2 linked regions of the Caenorhabditis elegans genome follow. The protein of the gene in region 1 purifies or fractionates together with the protein of each later gene. This does not show direct contact. Each region holds a gene or a part of one and is shown in the gene's direction. Other genes may lie near its edges.

Region 1 (8,505 bases):
AACCTCTTGGTATTTTTGATGAAGTTTGGAGGTATTTTATTTTTGCAAACTACAAACTACAAACTACAAAACCACAGCCTGGAAAGAACTTTAAAGTTAACATTTCCAGGATACCTACTAAAAGTTTCTATAATTCGAAAAAAAAAACTCTTTTCAAAAATACTGATTTCGAACTACAAACCACAAACTACAAACTACAAACTATAAACTACAATTTACAATTACAGTTGGAACACCTTTCAGAATGAAATAAAATTTTCAAATTTTTTCAGAGTTTTGATTTTAATTTTTTTTATTTTTTCTATACCAAAAACCAACTACATCTTTTAAGTTCTATGTTTTACCCTACAATCTACAAACTACACAACAAACAATATTATAATTGTCAAGTAATTCATTAAAAAAAAATTTTTTTTGAAAAAAGGCAATTTACAAATTACCCATTTGACCCAGGGCTTCCAAAAATTCCAAAATAATTTATTCCAATACCCCTCTCGGAGCCAATTGAGCTCTCTTGAACCTCTCTAGAAAACAGTACCTTATTAATTTGCAAATCCCCCACTCTCCTGACAGCCTCCGGGGTAGACACCCCCAGAGGCGGATCACCGGGGGGAGGAGTCTGTGGGGCACCGGGCTGTTGGGATGGGGAGAGAGGCCACTTGTTCCGTGTGTATGTCAAAAGAGAGAGAGAGAGACAAGATTTGCAATGTTGCGGTAGGATTTGAGGATAAATTATTTTATTTTTAGAATTTTGAATTTGAAAATGGTTTTTTTTTGTTTAAATTTGGTCCCCGCCTCTTCCTATTGAATTTTTTTCCTTTTTTTCAATTTTTTTTTCCAAAATTTTCAATTAATTTTTTTTCACTTGAAATTTAATTCTTTTTCATTTTACTATCTACTTAAACTTCCTGCTAAATTATAATTTTGTTGTATATTTGTTTTTGAAAAAATTCGCCTCTCCCACTTCAACCTCTCTCAAGGGGCCTAAATGACCTCTTTTGACCTCTTTTTTGCGGCATTTTGTACCACTTGAATTCGAAATATAATTTCTGACAGTATTTTTAACAATTTCAAATTTTAAATACATTTCGATTTTTGAAAAAAAAATTCCAAAATTTCAAAAAAAAAAGTATAAAATTTTTTCATTTTTAAATTTGGTGCGTTTGTCAAAATGTTTGTTTAAATATCTGGTTTTCAAGTATACATGTTAAAACAATACGTTAAAAAACAAAAAAACTTATTTCAAAAACCCTCAATTTTCTTTTTTTTTCACCCTTTTAACTTCAAACATTCATATCTCCGCGATTTTTGGAAATATTAAAAATTTGTCAACTAACAAAATAATTACTATAAAATTTTCTATATTTTGTTGCAACAAAACATTTTGATACCTCTGCCTTCCAATGAACTATGGGAATTTAAAACAGAGTAGACAGGTGAAGTTTGTCTGCGTCTACCTATTTTTGTATCTCAACTCTGCGGGTGTAAGAGGTATCAAAATATTATCATTTAATAAATTGTAGTAAATTTTATGTAGATACTTTTGTTAGTTGGAAACTTTTTGATATTTTGAACACTCCAGGAAATATCACTGTTTGAATTAATTTGTTCCCATTTTTGCCAATTCCTATTCATAATATGTATCATCTTTCTTATTTTTCACGCTTTTTCAAGAACGTAATAAATTATTATTATTATGTTCGTCAATTAGAGCAAATCTCTCAATTTCAAATTTCCAGCACAAAATGCACCCACCCATCAAAATTCAAACAATTTTACTGTTCATCCTCACCACCGTCCATTGTTCCGCCAAACGGTTACCGCAAATCTACTGGAACTCTACAAATCCCCTGTAAGTTGACTTTATCTTTCCTCCCAGTAGATCAAAAGCCTTCCGCCAATCACTCCACACATTTATGTTTACAATATTTACCTACAAGCCCCCGCCGGGAGTCCCTCAGGGTCCCAAAGAAGAAGCCGTACATGGCATAGTAAGCCGAAACCAAACGATGTTACTAATTATCTGGGTGCATACTGAGCAAATATTGAGCGGCGGGGAGGAGGTTATAGAGTATCAAAAATTAATCTGGGAACAGATGGGCATACTCTTTTTAGGATTAAGAAATCGGGGGCTCTCATTTTTAATAGGAACCGTAGATTTGTGAGCTATTACCTTACCTCGATGCACCATGACCTTAAAGACCATAGCTCCATGTACCAGGATCCTGAACATAACGTCTTGATGCACCATAATTTTATAAGCTTGGGCCACAAAATCTTAAAACTTAAGGCTCAATTCACTAGGATCTCAGAGCTCAAGTTTTCCAAAGCCCGATGCACCATAACTTCATAAGCTTGGATCATCATGGCCCCATAGCTATGGAAAACCAGGTCCCCATTACTCGATGCACCTTGACCCCAATAAGCTTGGGGCGCTAGAACCCTATACCCTATATGTTTCGATGCACCATGTACCTCCAGCTCTAGTTTTCATTCTTCGATGCACCATAACCTAGTTCCTAAAAAACAGTGTTTCTGAAACAGATTGCAGGTGTGCTCCTCCAAGCATCACTTTTTGTTTTTTTTATGAGCTCTCCCTCGTTGTTTTTCTTCATAAATATCCTGGCTTGATAGATTCCACATGTTTGTCACACACGTCGACCTCCTCCACACCCCTCTTAGTCTCAAATCCCTAATATATTCTATCCCTGTCCCGCGGGGGCAGATGTTCTTGAACAACCAATACTGTCAATCTGATAGGCATCTTCTAGGGCCATATGGGAAGTGAATGTATCAAAATGAAATCTTGAAGCTTGGCGGGGCTCTCTTGGGGGGCTCCACATCATGATGATATGATGACATGTTGTGGACCTCCTTAGTGTAATAAGTGGGGGGGACATAGTCTTGTAGTAGTACACGCTGCCTGATTTATGAGTCTTATCTCCTGTTGTACCTCTCTGATATCTTTCTCTTCCCGGTGAAATTTATGCCTTTGAGGAACAGGTTGGAAAGAAGTGCGGAGCATCAAAATGGAGCAATTAGTTTGAATGAAATAATGGGGGAGTGGGGGAGTGGACACAAGTGAAATTAGAGACCTCGGACTTTTGGAAATGGAATATATATACATGGACAAAGTTTTGAAATTCGAACGTTTACATATTCATTTTCAAACGACTTTAAATTTCCGGGGACCACAGAGACGGGTACTGGGACATGGTGCATCGTAGAATTGGAAAAAAAGACCTTGAGAACATGCCGATAATTGTCTCAATATAGATGTTGTTAATACTAGAATTTTACAATCGGATATGATCCAAAGAGAGAGAGAGAGACCAGATTTTATGGCTCCAGGTAATATACAAAACAAGAACCGCCGCCGCCACAACCCGTGTACATTTTTATGGCATCAAGATATGGCGGTGTGTGGGTGAAACTTAGCAGGTCTTTGCACATGGGCAATTACAGGGGGTACGGATTACTAAATATAGAACACTATTGGTTTTGTACATTGTTAGTTGACTATTTTCCAGTTTCAAGGAAATTTTCAGTAGTTTCCAAAAAAAAGTATTTTAATGAGGGTATCAACAAAAAAAATGTTAACTGGGAGAAAGCAAATTTGGCGTAGTTTTTTTTTGTTAGTAAACAATTATTTAAAATTTCAGTTTTTAGGTGAGCAGGAGTTTTAAATGACCTAGTTGGGTACACAATATGTAATGTATTTATAAAAATTATAAATACGTTCATATCTCCTTTTCTAGTGAAGCTGTCAAAAAGTTTTCGACCAACGAAATGTGGCAAATTTCATACAGTTTGATATTTCATTTTCTAGGGCAGTTACATAAGTTTTAAGCTCCATGGTAGTGGTATAAACTTTTGAACGGCCCTATTTCATTTGTCAGTAAACCTATCAAAAATAAGTCAACGGGCAAAAATTTAGCCAGACTTATAAAACTTATTTCTAGTGATTTATGGGAATTTTAAGATTCTCTGTAGGTAGTTTTCAACCATTTGCCAAAATGTTTGTTAACTTTTGACCTCCACAGTAGCTCTCAACCCCCTACCAAATACCACAATAACCAATGACACAACACCTTTCTGTAAACCAACACTATCCAAATTATGACACAACATTTTTATTCTGCAATCGGCAAACAAAAGGAGAGCTAATCCCCCGCACAAGGTGCTAAGTCTACCCACATTTGCGGTAACAAATTCCACCGCGCAATTGGCAGTTGATTAGTCAAATTAGCTCCGACAGCAAATGCTCAAGTGTGCAAAGTGGTTCCAATAATTGGGTACTCCTTATGTGTCCAAACATTTGGAGGGGGCAATAGTAACTATTTACGGAGTGGGGCACTTGAGATGAAGCTAGATGTTTTCGCTAGTAGGATACCCAAAACACGAGAGAGAGCTTTCCTTATTTGTCTAATGTCGCAGGTCATCGAAACCGATACTGTTTCTCCATCACAAATTTCTTTCTGGCTCAAGAGCTTAGCCTCACGGAGCACCAGGGCTCCCGGAGGGTCAGTTACATAACTCGAGACCAGCTGCTGACCTCATGTAGCTGCAGGTGTCTAGTGAGATGTTTTGAAATTAGTAAGGGTCTTGGAAGAGATAAGGTGTGCCTTTATTATGCAAATATTTTTCGGGGGAACACCGGAAGTATTAGGTGGGGCAAAATAGGACACTGGACGGAAATTAGGCAGTAAATGGTGTTAATATCCTGAAAATGGAAATTCTGAGTACCCCATCAAACTATTCCCAATAAAATGTGTGCCCTATTCTGGGGAACGAATATGTAAATTGTCTTTCTCTCAGCATATTGCACCCAATAAAACGGTCCATTCCTTTTTCCCCAATATCTACAAAACGGGCACATAATTAACATGCCCCTTGCCGCCCGACACAGGTGTCTTTGATGAATGCCGATCAATCGAGAGGCAGGAGTGGGGGGGGGGGGGGCTAATCTCTAGAGACCCCCCTTACTCATTCGGGAGCTAACTGCTGTTCAGGAAGGAAGCCCTTGTTCTTCATCACCCACATGCTCATCACAATTTCGTGATGGGTGGGGAAAGAGCACACAACAATTAGGAAGCTCTATTACCAAATTGGACAGCTAACTGTTTCTGTTTTGGACATCCAAATATTGGGAGGGGGAGGTCTTAGTGGCAGACTGTTGGCAGTTACGTAACGGTCATGTGGACGGCAAATGAGGCGGAAGATTTTTGAAATTGGAGGAGCCTAGGCATGCCAGCCAAGACCGACCTTATCCGAAGCCAAAAAAAAATTTTGCCGTAAATCATAGCCTTATTTCGAGCCTTGTTCTTAAATGAAGCCTGACCCTATTTCTAAGTGAGCCCTACAATCGGTCTCAGTTTGAGCTTTTGTTTCGCTTAAGGCCTATATTATGGCTAAGTCTAAGTCTACGCCTAAACCTGAGCCTGCTCCTAAGCCTAAGACTAAGCCTAAGCCTACCCCTACTTCTAAACCTAAACCTAAGCCTATGGCTTAGCCCAAATTTAGCCTTGAAATGTTTACCGCATTTAGTTTATTTTTTCAAAAAAATACCTCAAAGGCTTTGTTCATCCCGACATCTAATGGGTAATTTGTCGGCGGCGACAAAACTTTTGCATTTTCTGGTCTGGCGTCCGAGTGGTGGCCAAAGTTTTATGTTCCGTGAGAGGGTTACGCGTTTTTGTAATGGCATGTTCGGGTTTTTTCTCTTTTTTCTCCGGGTGGCGGAAGTGTTCGGATTTTCAAAAAACAAGGGTAAAAAATCGAAAAAATAAATTTTGCAGAGTGGAACGATATGCTGCAATTGGAGACACCCTTGACATAGTTTGCCCGTTTTTCGATGAAAACTCTGATGAGCTCACTGAGCAATCGATTATCTATAGAGTGACTGAAGAGGAATATGAGAACTGTGAACGGAGGTCGAAGGCAAAGGAACTGGGAAGATGTACACAGCCGTATCAGGAGGAGAAGCTTAAAGTGGCGTTTAGGCTTATGAGCCCGAATCCGTCGGGACTGGATTATCGGCCTGGAGTCACTTATTATTTTATTTGTGAGTTTATGGAATTTTTAATTTTGAACATTTCGCAAAAAAAAATTTTTTTTAAGTTTTTGGAACAAAATATTAATTTTGAGAAATTTAAACACATCTTAAACATTTTTTGAATTGAAACTTTGATTTCCAATAAAAATTGTAGTTTTAAAAGCTATACCAAGGAAGAGCAAGAATTTTCAGGAAAAAAATCTAGGCTACCTTAAAACTCCTATAGCTTTTCAAAAAATTGATTTATCAAAAAATTGCCAACTTACAAAATATTGAGCATGAAATTTCCTATTTTTGATAATTTACTTTTGTGCTGAGTGAGTCACTGTAGTTTTTGCCGAGGGGGCAACGAATTTTTAACAAGAAAAAAACAAGGATTTCTAAAAACTTCCCTATCTCTTTAAAAATAGAGATATACAAAAGTTGACAACTAAGAAAATATTCAGCATTAAACTTTCTATATTTTGTTAGTTGACAACTTTTTAATATCTCTCTTGCCTGCCGAAATACATCAGCTCAAACAAATAAAAAAAGTTTTCCAGCTACCTCAACCGGCTCCCGAAAGGGTCTCTACAACGAGCAAGGCGGTCTTTGTGCGTCCCACAATCTGAAAATGGTAATCCACATAACTGACCGTAATGGAGACATCGGACCACACCATCACCGCCACCATCACAAGAAGACCACTACTACCACCACAACGAGTACTTCCACAAGCACCCCGAAGACCATTCCGCCGGTCGTCGAGATGGACAGCTCGGCGGAAAAGCTGTGGGAGCAGTTTTACGAGAAAGTGATGCCTATTGATAACACATGGCCGGAGATTACACGTGGCGAGCGGGTTACGTTGTATCAGGGGAATAAGAAGGATGAATACGAGCAGGTTCCAGCGGAAGTTGTCGATTTTGAGATTCATGAGATTGGAGATGGTGGGTCGTTTTTTTTTCGTTTTTTTTTAAATTTTTTCAACTACCAAATTTTAAAAATTCAAATTTTCAGTAGAATCTCTGTACTCATCATCTGGACGGCTCCGATATGTGCTCCTACTGCCGGCTCTCCTGCTGCTCCGGATCTTCTAGTCTACCACAGAAGTTCTTCCTTACCTTCAACCTCCTGAAATCCCGGGTGCCATCATTCCCATCATCACACATTTTCCCACCGTTGACGGGTTCCCATTTTATTCCCAAATTGTGCTCAATTTTGTATATTGCTCCCCTCCAAGTTTTTGATAATTTTCTCTTGATACCGGTATCTAGAACATGAGCTGAATATTAGTTTTCTGTGATTTTTTCAATCAAATAAATGGTTAAACTTTTTCCAATTTTTTTTTCAGAAGTTGCCCTACAGTAGCTCTGCCGGTACGTGGCAGATACTGTATCGGTAGGGACAATATATATATATATATATATAAGTGTACCGTAAGTTAATTAAAGGTACCAAGTATTGAAAAGGTATGGTATAGTACCGTAAGGGTATTGTAGGGGTACTTTAGAGGTTCCGTAATGAAACTGTAAGGGTACTATAAGGATATTGTGGGATACTAAGTATTGTGAAAAAAGTTATAACTTTTAATGAATAGCATCCTGTAAGGTTTAGCACCTTTAGATTTTATATTCCTGGCTTCGATACCCTTCAAGGTTACTGAAAACTTCCCGAGCGGTACTTTTTAACCTAAATTTACCGGAACTTCACAAAAGTTCATCGCTCTTCTTCCACCAATTCATTCGTACTTCATCTTCCCGTAATTTGAATGAAACGAAATATAAATCAACTCAATGTACACTTTCGTCGTTGTTGTGTAAACACTTTACCACAATAAATCACAGAAGTGGATCGTTTCGCGGCATCCCGTCCGCGCGCGCGCATCTTCTAGGGCATTTAGAAGGGCACGGGGGAGGCTTGGGGGTCTAAATGAAAATTGAAGCATAAGCCTAAGCCTAAACCTCAGCCTAATCTTTAGCCTATTTGTAAATTCAAGCCTAAATCCTGTTATTTGAAACAATTCATTGCATTTTTGAGGAAGGACGACCTTCACCCACCAATGATTGATTTGAATATGGAATTTTCGATTTTGACACACTAATTCGGCGCCGGCATACACCATAACATGTGTCAATTCTTCCAAATTTTTGACACGAAAATGATCTTGCAGATCGCATTGAAATGAGGTTCAGAATCGATTTGAATACCATTTTGAGTATGTCAAATTTTGAGGGGACATCATTTTTGAATATTTTGTATCTGCATGTTCAAATTTTCAAAAAAAAATCGCTGATAACTAATTCAACACTTTTTGACATGCGGCTCGTCACTTAATTGACCTTCCTTGTGCGCATCCATGAGATGGAGGGGATCATATCATAACCCCCTTAATAAGAGGGTTCAATGCGCGCGCGCGAATGTGAAATGAAGACATTTTGGGGGATGATGGCGGTGGCCCGTTTGATCTA
Region 2 (12,489 bases), on another chromosome or scaffold:
ATAGTTGGCATGGTGCATTGTGGTGAGGTCTATTGTTATTCTTGGCGGTTCATTTTGTGAAAAACCAGAGATTTTCTCGTTTTGGCTCATTGTTAATCTACATGATCAAAGAACTGTATGTGAATAATTGGTTTACAATATGTTTTCAAAAAGAACCACAAACTAAATAACTAGTTTATGTTGTATATTTTTCAGATATTTGGCGATAAACTTTCTATTCAAAGAAAAGAAACAAAATCTCTATATTATCATTGATGTTTAGAGGCCCCATATATACTGAAATCTATGAGTAAAAAACTCTTTACACAGGTTTTAATGAATGAATAGTTACCATACGATTTCTATTGTAGGTAGGCACCATTTGCTAACACCCATTTTATTTATTTTCACCAGCTCCGATGTTTGTAAATTAATAAGGTGGTAATTCTAACATAACTCATTTCCTGCTAAAATTCACGCAGACTGAAATTGATAATTGGAAAAAAAAGTTTGAACAAATGGACTTCTGGCTTGTCCTGGATACAATGCTCCCTTGCTTTTTTTTTGAATATTAGAGTTAATGTTATTCCAGAGACATGCATATTTCTCACACATTTCACTTTTCACCAATCCTTCTTTTCCTTTAACGTCACCCTCCTACCCTTTGCTCGGCATCAAAAGATACCGATCTTCTTGGTGTTGTGGTTTTTGCGCACTCTACCTCTTTCTCGATGCCCTTCTATTCTTCGAAGCTTCTGCTTTGCTCATTCATTAATTTGATGTATTTGTGCATAAATTTAAAAAGGCCTTGGAAAAGCATGAGACTCCTACCCGTCACCACTTCTCCTCCTTTTTTGTCCTTCCGGACAACGGACGTTATCCATCTAAATCCTTTAAACGAACGCTCTCTGGTTTGGATTTCAAATTTATTTCAAGAAATTGAAGAAGATTTTCGAAAATTGAAGTTGAATGAGGGATCGGCGGAAAGGACAGGAATATACACACATTCATCCATATACTTACACAATTGCCCTGTTGTCGGCAGTAATCCCCGCGGTTTGTTCGGCCCCCGTCTCAATACTCACCACCCTTTATTTTCCAACCCGTTAGACTTTTCCTAATCCACGCCTCAATCCCACTGTATTGCATAAACACCGCCATCCGCGATTCTACTGCTTACAAGTCGAATACAATGAGCTGTGAAATCTTTTTTCCCAATCTTTTGTATTATTCAGTTTAGGCAAGTTCGATGAATTTCTCATCAAATCATTTATTTTGGAAATTGCACAGAATGGTTTGCAGGCAAAATTAAACGGAAAACTGTGTTTTTTTTTTCGGCCATTCTATTTTTTTTTCTCAAATATTGTTTTAAAATATTGAGATTTGTTGAGTTTGCCAAATTTTTCGTGTTCGACAAGTGTTCAAAAACCCCACTAGCTGAATTTGTTAAGATTGGAAGACTTTTAATTGCATACCCCTAGTTTAAAAATCCGTTTCTTGCTCATTTTTGTTAATAATGTTTTCCGTTTTATATAAAACTAGAATTCTCACTCATTTAGAGAATTTGATTCCTATGATTGAAAATAAAATAAAGAAAAAATTACATGTCTCGCGAAGTGCAAGTTTAGTACAAGTGTATACAATTTTTCAAATCCTTGAAAGGTTTTGAAACTGAGTGTAGAAAATTTAAGTTTTCGATAAATTTAGTTTTTCCACATAGTATGATGTTTTTTGGATTAAGTGAAATCACCGATTTACCACTTTAAAAAGTGTCAGACGATCATAAAAGTTTATGATATAATTGAAACATACTACTGTGTTTGAGAAATTTTATGGTACTTTTATTCCCCGCATTCAATTTTTTTTTGAGTTATACAAAATTGAAAATTGTAGAAAGTTTGTATATTGTAATTTTTAACTTTTGGGTTTTTAATGCGAAAAATCATATACCAATTTCTGTACGCGATCACGATTTTTGTAGTTTTATTCCATTGAGTTGAAGCTCATTGTACCATTTGCTGAATACTGAGGTCACTTACTTTTCATCATGATAACTCATTCTTATGCACACATACACACATATTTTCATTTTCCGTCTTCTGATGGTGTTCCGTTTGGCTTTGACGTGTTTAAACTTTAGAGTGACTCATCGTGCATTCCTGCTTCCTTGCTCCATTTGACAGTTTTACAGAGACGCCCACACTGTGAAAGTGGCAAAATTTGTACTGAATTCCGGAAGTGTGAGGATAGGCATTAGACTATAAATGTTTTGCTGCGCCTGTATAAAAAAATCGGCCTGAAAATCGTATGATTCAATGTCTTTTTGCTTGAAACCAAAACTTCTACTTTTATTTTCTGACAATCAAACTCTTCATTTCACATTTTCTTTCCTCGTCTCCTCATTTCTTAAACTTTGAGCAGCTCTTTTTCTTCTAGTCAACTAGCACTAGTGAGCACCGCCCGTTTTTCTGCCCTCTGGTCATTTTTGTGTATCCACTTGCAGCTTCTCCTTTTTGAGAGAAAAGGGAAAAAGATAAGTATGTGCCATGCAACAAAATCTTATTTCATTTTTTTTTCTCCCCTCTCTCCATTCGCGTCCCAACATTTACTTCGCAATTTTCAAGGTTCTCCTACGTAAACCCACCGAACACGCGCGTTATTTTCAAAATAGCCTTTTTCTATTCCCATATTTGCATATTCAAAGTATTCAGTGTATGAACATCGTGGATTTCTTCCTCCTCTCTCGCTCCTTATTCTTGACCGAAACAGTTCCTCCCTCCCGTTTCACTATTGAGAACTCGGCCATTGAAAGTGGTAGAACCCATTAAACACTAATAATAAGTTTCTCGCGCGCACTTCTCCATCCCGATCCACCGTCTTGTGACGGTAAAGTAACATAATGTTGCAAATGTATACAAGAATCCATCCACCTCCCCCCAAAACAGTTACACGGTGTCGTTGTTCAAGAGGTCACTCACTTTTATTTGTTCACGTTGGTTGTAAAAACTTGTCAAGGATTGAGATTAGGTTTAATTTCAATAGTTTTCCTAAAATTCAGTTGTTTTACCCATACTTCGCTCATTTTTCTTTGTGTACTTATATTTAATCTGAAGATGACATTATGTATTGTACCACCGATTCGATTCAACATTTGATAGGAGATTAAAAACTCTTTTAATTTGAATTTACCGCTTTCTTTGCAAAAAACAAGTCTTTTAAATATATTTTTTGGAGACTTTTTAGAATTTTCGGTACTTGTGTTTTATGACCCCACATTTTAAAGTTAAATTTGTAATTGTTATATTTGTTCATTTATTTAAAACGTGAATAATGTTCTCACTATTAGGTTTAGGGAAACAAATTCTTCTACAATTATTTTCGTGGAAAATCCAAATTCAGTCACTTTCAAACTCATTAGTTAATGATAAAAATCCCTGTGTTAACGGGTTTTCCCGTTTTTTAAACAGACTAAATTCTTATTAAATTCATAAGATTCACCACCTGCACTTTTTAGTACTTTCATCATTGAGGATACTCCGTCCAAACAAAAACCCCACAAGTGACTCTTCCATCTTTAAAATCACATCCCAAGATTTAAAAGTTTTGATTCACCATCTTCAATCTCCATTCTTCTACAATTGCCTATAATACATTTCTAGTGAACCTCGAGGCAGCTGGCACATTTTGACATTAGAAGGACATTGAACCCAAAGGACATATATTGCGTGTTTCAAGACAAGAATTGATATCTCACACACCTGCCATTCTCTTTTTTTCGGTGGTTTTCATTTCGTCTTTTTCGCCGTTTTTAATGTCTTCCCATTCTCGAACCCATCACAACAGGTGCTCCCCATTTGGCGCCTTCTTTATGAAAGTGCAATTTATAAGAGAATCATAAAATAAGACGAACGAAGATGCGATGTTCTCTCATCGATCACTTTCACGCCTATCTGTTCTTATCCAGTTTTGAGTAATGAGGGGAAATAAAGAAACAGTGGCGTAGATAAATTTTTATTATATTAGAACATTATAAATTTAGGTTTCCTCTTTTTTCTGACCCATATTTTTTTGACGTTTCCGGTTTTCGAAATTGAAGGGGAGCTGTTTTTTTGAGTGTCTTATTTTTTATTCTTCTTGTTTTTTAATTTTAATTCCCATTTGGTTTCCGCTGGTTAAATTTTAAAATCAAGAATTATACACCCTTTGCCCTTTTCTTGCACTTTGTCTTATTTGCAATTGACTCTTAAGGCTTGTTTTTGTCATTTCTGAGAGAAAAAAAGTCAGTCTAATCTAAGTACTAGGAAAAGCAAGCCCTCGTTTTGTTTTCTTCTTCATCTTTCTCCCATATTCCATAGGTATTATGCAACTTTTCTCCTTTTTTGTTGCTTCTTCTCAAAATGAGATGCTCCAATGCTTTATTTCTCAGTTAGTGGGTGTACTGATTGAGTCGTCCAGCGCGACCTTAGCCCCCCCCCCCCCCCCACTACCAGTACAATTAGTCAAGAGACCACCCCAAACAGGCCCCGCCTTTTTCGTGCAGCACCCTTCATATGGGCATCCAATCTCTGAGGCTCATCAATTTAAAAGGCGTTTATTGGAATGAGCGAAGCCACGCTTTCGCTTCACACTTTCGATATTTGCTAGTACTAAATGCTCTATGATGTGATGTTCACATGATTTTATTATATATCTCGCGATTGCAGTGTGATATGCTATCTTGAAAAAGTGAACGTGGATTTTTATTTCTCTGCCACATCCCAGTTCATCTTGCTCTCACAAGTTCGATAAAAATATAAGTCGAAAAAGTTCCCCAATCGGCACCCACGCAGATTTTTCCATTGCTCCAGTTGGCACTGTTTTCAATGTTTTTTTTGCTCCGTATAATGGGCGGAGTTTCTAGCACATGCGATAATGTGTTAATACTCTCACCACAACCACATTCTTATCATCAATCCCCTCTGAACCCGGTCGTATGGACAAATAGTGTTCAGGACCACAGAATGTTGATAAACTGATATAAACACAACTCTAGAAACTCGACACTTTCGTGCTAGCTTTTTTGCAGAAATAATTTAGTTTCTGGTAAATCAAACCAAACCGTAGTATTACTAAACCATTAGCTAAACAAATTTTGTTTTGCAAGTGTCAGCTTTCAATTATTATTAATTCACTCCCACGCTAACTTGTCCCGCCCATTTACGAAATCAGTGCTCTGAAATGAGAATGAATACTGCTCCAGACCTCCAGAGGAATCATCAAGGGAATCGTAAATGTCCCTAATTCATATCGCCACTTTCGTCTCACTATGCATAACCAAACCCCTTCTTCTTCTTTCCTTTCTGCTTCTGTTGTTGTCCTTTTATGACAGAATGGCCTGAAGGAGGAGGATGAGCAAATCACGACCGAATTTTACAACTGACTAGGCGGCTGCCCCTCATTTCTCCTTCTGATAGTTTTGGTCAATAGGACTGGCCCCCACTGAGTCTGAGTCACTGTAGTACTCTAGATGCCAGAGACAAGAGAGCACGCTGTACAGAACTGTGTTGATAAGAGGGGGAGAGTGGCTGTAAAACAGAGGGGAATAGGGAGTAAGACAGTTGTAATTGTTAATAATTAAAAATTGGCAACATCGGGTTTCTAGCTTGTTTATTTTCTTTTCTCGATATCTCTTCTATTTTTTTTTCTCTCTGAATGTGAACTTCTTTTTTTTTCAACATTTTCTTTTTTCAGCATGATGAAATTGGTTCTGCTGATTCTTGGACTTTTGATAGCATCGACAAGTGCTCAAATTAGGACAAAAGGTGGAACATTAATTGTAAGCTGTTATTTTTTTTATGCTCAAGTAATTGAAAAATTGAAGGCAAAAGAAGGAGAATCTCTCACCTTGAGATGCGAAGTTGAGGACCCATCGGTTGCAATTATTTGGAGGAAGAACACAGAAGTCGTCGCTGTTGACGATGAGATTCTCGACACCTACGGAGGATACGAAATCTCGATGGAAGGCTCGGTAACTAGATTTAATTTACACTTGATTAGGATCAAGGGCTTAACTAAGTTTAGTCTTTCTTCTTTATTCGAAATTTCTTCAGACATCTGTGCTCACCATCAAGAGAGTCGAGCCAATCAACTCGGCTAACTACTCGTGCGCATTGGCAGAGCCGGAAGTCAGTGTCACTTTTGTCATCAAAGTGCAAGGTGTGTTTGAAAGTTTTGGGAGTTTGGATTGAAAGTGAGGAAGTATAGATACTCACTGAGCGGAAATGATGAAAATCCTAGGTATTGTAAACATTCTAAAACACTGAGTTGTGGAGAGAACCTTGTGAAAAAATGTGTAAACGTTACAGAAAACTTTTTCAAACTTGAATTTACAGTTTTTCTCTTTACAAAAAATACAAACACAACAATTTGAACAAATAACAATCAAACCAACAATACCCATAACTTTTCTAAAGAATGTGCACTCAAAATGGCTTATCTGAAACGCCCATCTCTGTTAACCCCCCGTCTCCCCGCCACGCTTATTATTAGGCATTTGTCATTACATAATGCTTTTCCACTGGTCCCATCACTGCCATGGACATCTGCGCAATGAAATTAAAAGTAGAACATGGCCAAAAGGGGTTAATCGTGTAAAGTTATTATAGAAATTAAAAGGTGATTGTTTCAGAAAAAAACTTCGTTTGAGATAGCGCATTTTTTCTTGAAAAATACGAGTTGCGCTACCTAAATTATGTAATATTTATTTTAAGTCCATTTCAGAGCTTGAAGTAAGAATTACGTGTACATAGAGATTTTCCATATAGACTAATATTTTTTGTAGGAACCGTTTGTTTCTTCTTATTTTTACCTGAGTCAATAAAAATTTGTCTAATGTTGCACATTGAAAATTGTTTTTGATGTAGGGAAATAATAGATATTTTCAATATATGTAGAGAATATTTTTATATGTTTTCAGTTTTCAAACCCACTCAAGTTTCAGTTAAACCACTTGTCGTCATCTCTCCAGACACTGGTGTCTATCATGCTCGGGTTGGAGAAAAGAATCTGGTGATCACATGCCACGTGAAGGAAGGAAACCCAAAACCAGGAGTGGTTTGGACCAAACAGGTTGGTTCATTATACCCCTAATCTCTTGACTCTTACTACTAATTGCTAGTTTTGCCAACATTGACTTCCTTTTCTCTGATCCTATAATTATGGTTGTAGTTTAAGGCTGCCAAATTGCCAGAGGATATTAAGCGCGAGCACGGAGGAGCCAGAATTGTTATCACCGAAGTGAAGAAGCACCATGCTGGGAAGTACAACTGTTTGGCAGAGAACATCGCAGGATCGGACAGAGCTACAATTGACATACATGTTGCTGGTAAGCATTTTCAATTTGTTTGTGAGATTGTGAACTTGAATTTGACTTTGAATTGAAATTTGAATATGCAGAGGTGTTTTTGAATGAAAAGTATGTTTTTCGATTGTAATGGAAAACAAGACTAGTTTTTTGAGACGTGAAAATTTGAAAAGTGGAAGAAAAGATTAATGATAGGAGGAAAGCTGCAATCATTTATCAGATTTTGTGGTGTAACCAATGATAAACAACATGTGTTGCACTAGTGCATTAGACTCTTCCTCTTGTTCCACAAATCTCTAATTTTTTTTTGACGTGACGTGTGCCATCAATCACTCATCTCTTTTTCAGAGCCGCTCCAAGGAGAACGCGAAGGTGAGTATGAAAATCGTCGTCGGATATTGCCAATGTGGTGTGATATGTTGTGTTTGTGATTGTGACCGTGCATCCATTAAACATCTAATCCAGAAGACGTTGAGACGTTGGTTTTGACAACATCTGCGTCGAGCTACCCCCTCAAATTGCTCTATAGAAGGTGTTGGCACAACAAAAGGGGTTGCGATGGTTTCTGAGACCAGCCAGCTGCAATTTATGAACCATTCACCCTTTTTCGACTGCCCATCATCCAACATTTTTGTTTATATAGATGATTTCAATAGGGATAGTGAGGGAAATTAATCCAGTAAATATATATATAGTCCTAATTGGAGGCAAGGGATTTAGAATTTAGGATGAATCGGCTCTGTGAGCTCATCATATCCTAGAACTCAACAGATGGTTGATCGAAAAGGTGACAGTTTGTAGGTCGGTGGGGTAAGAACGCTTGACAAAATGATGTGCATTTGCGATTATCCGATCCAACATGCCAAACCATATGGAGTGGCATGCTGGTGGGAAACCGAAACTGGATGTTGGGAGTAGGGAAGAAGGTTATTGATATGTATATTTTATGATTTGGCATTGCAATATTTTGGATACAAAGCTCTCTAAATTGGTCCCAGGATGACCTTTTTTCAGTTTATAGAATACTTTGAGATTTGTATTTCCAAAAATGGGAAGTTGGCGCTGTTCAAATTATGAGTTTATCGTTGAAATCATATACATATATTCCAATAATGTGACGATATGTTCATTATGTTTCTCTTAACCCTACAATATTTAATTTCAACTTTCAGTTTCACTCATTGTTCCAACAAATACTAAAAACCAAAAAAAAGGGAATTAATTTCAGAAAAGCCATGGGTGAAAAATGAGGACACGTTCATTCCGGTGCGCAAAAACCAAAACGCATCATTCTGGTGTACTTATGACGGAACTCCAGTGCCGCAAGTCGAGTGGCTCTTCAATGGTTACAAGATTAACGTATGTCACGCAACCACTTGGAATTCTGATGAATAATGCTTTATACATTGCAGTTCAATGACGAGAAGTTCAAGAAAACTTCGGAAACGGCTCAAAGGCTTAATGGATACAGCAAGTCTACGCTGACTGTTGGCGACATTTCCGAAGAAGCTTTCGGGGACTACGCGTGCCGAATTTCCAACAAACTCGGATCCGTCACCGCTGTGGTGCACGTTAGTGGTGCGTGATGACATTTGACTAATTGCCAATCATTTTCTCGTTCCGTTCCGTTCTGTTCCTCCGGATCTCCTTTTCTATGAACACACGTCAGGAATAATTCACCTGCGGGCGTGTGGGGGAAGAGGGTCCTTGTTATTTGCACCGGGCCCTTGTGGACTTCGTCACCTTTTGAATGAGCTTTCTCCCGACAAATTTACATAATGAATTAGTACCTTGGAGATGGAGAAGGATGGAATAGTAAACTGGTAGATGACTTACATGAAAAGGGACAGATAGCAAAATAAATTGGTCCAGAAAGCATAGATTTTCATTTTTCAGTTATTATAGAAGTAGTGGATTTGAAAAAATTAAGATAATCAAAGTATCGGACCGACTATTTGGTTAACTTTGACAAAAGTTCTTGAAACTGATTAAAAAAACATTTAACGCCAATTATTTACATAGTTAAAACTTTTAGGAAGACCAGGTCCACCACAACTTTCTTTTGACGAATCTGAGCTCACGTGGACTGTTCGCGCCTTTGACAAGATTCTCGAATACCAGCTTTGCCACCGATTAGAAAATGCGGATCACTTTCTGCCGGAGGACTGCAACAGTGTCAGAGTGAAGAAGAGCGATAATAATGGTGATGACAAATGGACACATACCATCGATCTTAGCACATTCTTGGAGCACGGAAACAAGTACCATGTTCAGTTGAAGGCCAGAAACGCTTTGGGTTGGGGAAGCATGGCAAAAGACGCATTGCATGTTGAATTGCAGAGAATTGAAAAGGGTAATTTTTTATTTGTTTTTAGAATACAAACTCTTCGAAAAAGTTGTATGATATTTTAGCATTGTGTACGTTACTTGATAGTTTGAGAGTTCACTAAGGTTTTGTGTTTTGTGAAGTTACTGAAGCACAGTAAAAACAATGTATTAAAAAATAGCACCCGTAGGAAAGTTGTTAAAAACTACTTTCACATTACTAAAACTATCATAAATAAAAAATATTTGAAATGTCTATTGCAATTAACAAATTGTTATCATTCACTTTTTATCATCCACAATTCAGGAAGTCAACCAAATTTGACTGAAAGTTTTGAAAAATCTTCAACTTGTTGTAAACTTTTCATGGTGTTTTGTTTTGTCGACTACTCAACATTTTTGAAAAAAAAATGCTAGAGAAACAAATCTGACATTAAAAATGGCAAGTCCGAGCGAAATCATATATAAAAATTTGAAAATGTTATTAAAACCCTATTGTTTACAAATAGAATAATGCTTCAAAATCTGTATTAAAGTTACAAGGTTCTAAAAAACAAGTAAAAACAAGATCAATTGAAATATTTAGTTGAAAAACATTTCAGAGGAGGCAAAAGGAGCATCAATCATTTCTATCATATCATCAATTCTGGTTACATTAGTCACAATGTATCTTTTATTTTAATATTTTATTACAAACAAAACAATTTAGTATGTATTTTCTACCTCTGTCGTCCTCCTTTTATGCAAAGATTTGCCATGTCTCACTTCTAGATCACAAATCGTTCAGATCAATTTCCAAATTCAGGGTGTTCAGTAGGATTTATGGTCTTTCTATTTCCATTTTTATTTTCAAAAATATGTTTTCTCTGCATTTTTCCTCACGTTTAGATTCATATTGAATGTGAGCCGGTGTTGCTCCCCCAAATTTCCCCATTTTCTTCCAATCCTTTCTTTCGTAGTTCTGTCACTTTTTTCCAAAACTGTTCACTTTTCTCTCCACGAAGAATACTTACTTTTGTGATGATGCTTTTAAAAAATTATGTAAAAAATTCAAAACCCTTTCCCCCTCATTCCCAATCCACTTAATTTACTCGGTGCCCTTTTTTCTGAATGTTGTCAGTTTTTCATCAAATTTTATCCAATATTTTCTGTTTCATTATTTAACTTTTATTACAAAATAAATAACTTTGATCAGTTCAAATTCAATGTACCAATTATTCAATTTTGCAGACACAAAATTTCACGGAAATTGAAGTCAATTTCGGTGTGAAGAAGTGCACTTTTCTTTTAATTTTCGTTTTCCTTGTCGAACATAAACCGGTTTCTATAAATTAAAAACTACTAAAGTCATTACCCAACAATTTTCAGATTTTTTCTTTCAAGTTTCAAGGCCTTGTTCTTTGAAAACTTTCGCCGGAACGAAAACACGCTGGCTTTCCAGGCCTCCCGCAGCTAGTATCATTGTGATGATAACAATGATAACAAAAAGAAAACTATGCGACACATTCATAAAGCTGTAATAATTTTCAACATGGTGCGATTGAAGAGAGTAGAAGACACATTCACTGTTTTACACTGACGACACGGTAATGTGGGTGTGTGTGCGAAGAAGGAAAAGCTATTATTGACGTGGTTGTAAATCTTTATATGAAGGTGAATCGCTCCCAGAGAAAGTGAGAATATTTCAACGAGAAAATGGTCAGTTGGAATTTCATTGGTTGTGTTCTTTCGCGTTCTTTACACAATAAAAATTAAATTTATATCTCAATTGGACAGATGCCAACATTTTAATCTTCTTGAACACGAAAGATCAAAAGGTCTTTTAAAGAAGCCACGAGACAGAAAGTAGTCATAAAAACGTTGTCTATTGCGTTGTAAAACGAACACGACCAGACAGTTCACATATTCGCACAATATTTGACATCTCTGGAGACAGCTCTTTCAATGACAACAAAATTTTGACCCAGGCAGGGCTCGAACCTGCAATCTTCTGATTAGAAGTCAGACGCCTTATCCATTAGGCCACAAGGCCACGGTCGGGCTGGTATATTGCGTAGTACACGAAAAATTGAGAAACAGAAACAAGGAAAAACAATAAGAACGAACTCCCGGTGACATTTATGTTTCTGGATGTATCTTATGACTTTCTTATATGTTATGACTTTTTGCTTTAAAGCTTTTTTTCGCATGAATAAATGGTTAAAGTTGGCTCTGTTGGATTCACTAACTTTTCTTCGCTGCACAGTGGGAATTTCTAGTTACTATCGTATTACTAAATGCTCTCTTCACCAAATGAACCGGATTTTATAAAAAATGAATAAATCAAACAAGAGACAAAAATTAGATATCCATTACAAAAAAAAAAAATTTGACCCAGGCAGGGCTCGAACCTGCAATCTTCTGATTAGAAGTCAGACGCCTTATCCATTAGGCCACAAGGCCACATTTTCTGACCACCAGTAGGAGGTATAAGTGTTACGTCTTTCTCTCTGCTCTCTGTCTCTTTAGTTGTGCGATGGTGGCGTGCAAACAAAAACCAGTGGACGAATGGGCTACCTACTCGAGAAGTGGACGAAATAGTAGATGTTTTTGTAAAAGAATTGTTTTTGTAAATAGTGTTCTTTTTTTTTCAAAAGTTTAGAATTTTGATTTCTCAATTGGTTTATTGGCGTTTCTATCGTTCCACTCGAATGTATAGATAATTGTTGGGTATAATTATTTTTGTGGTGGAGTGAACAGAGCTACTCAATAAAGGAAAAGTCATATAGATTTATTCAGCAAAAATGACTACTTTTAAACCTCTTCGACGAAATATGACGCAGAAATTTTCATTTTGCAAGTGA

The links.
Region 2: the proteins of vab-2 (region 1) and wrk-1 purify together in Caenorhabditis elegans (affinity purification with western blotting, with the first as the bait; one study listed by BioGRID). This does not show direct contact.

The regions. Positions count from the first base shown.
Region 1 is NC_003282.8:3,760,061-3,768,565, reverse strand, and holds vab-2 (Ephrin RBD domain-containing protein), read left to right. Parts: upstream 1-1,739; 5' UTR 1,740-1,745; coding exon 1,746-1,852; intron 1,853-5,798; coding exon 5,799-6,064; intron 6,065-6,597; coding exon 6,598-6,984; intron 6,985-7,054; coding exon 7,055-7,134; 3' UTR 7,135-7,371; downstream 7,372-8,505.
Region 2 is NC_003284.9:8,385,803-8,398,291, reverse strand, and holds wrk-1 (Ig-like domain-containing protein), read left to right. Parts: upstream 1-5,709; 5' UTR 5,710-5,710; coding exon 5,711-5,794; intron 5,795-5,839; coding exon 5,840-5,986; intron 5,987-6,068; coding exon 6,069-6,174; intron 6,175-6,934; coding exon 6,935-7,086; intron 7,087-7,185; coding exon of another isoform or gene 7,186-7,191; coding exon 7,192-7,342; intron 7,343-7,669; coding exon 7,670-7,693; intron 7,694-7,915; exon of another isoform or gene 7,916-8,177; intron 8,178-8,549; coding exon 8,550-8,680; intron 8,681-8,733; coding exon 8,734-8,899; intron 8,900-8,987; exon of another isoform or gene 8,988-9,137; intron 9,138-9,356; coding exon 9,357-9,674; intron 9,675-10,248; coding exon 10,249-10,328; 3' UTR 10,329-10,846; downstream 10,847-12,489.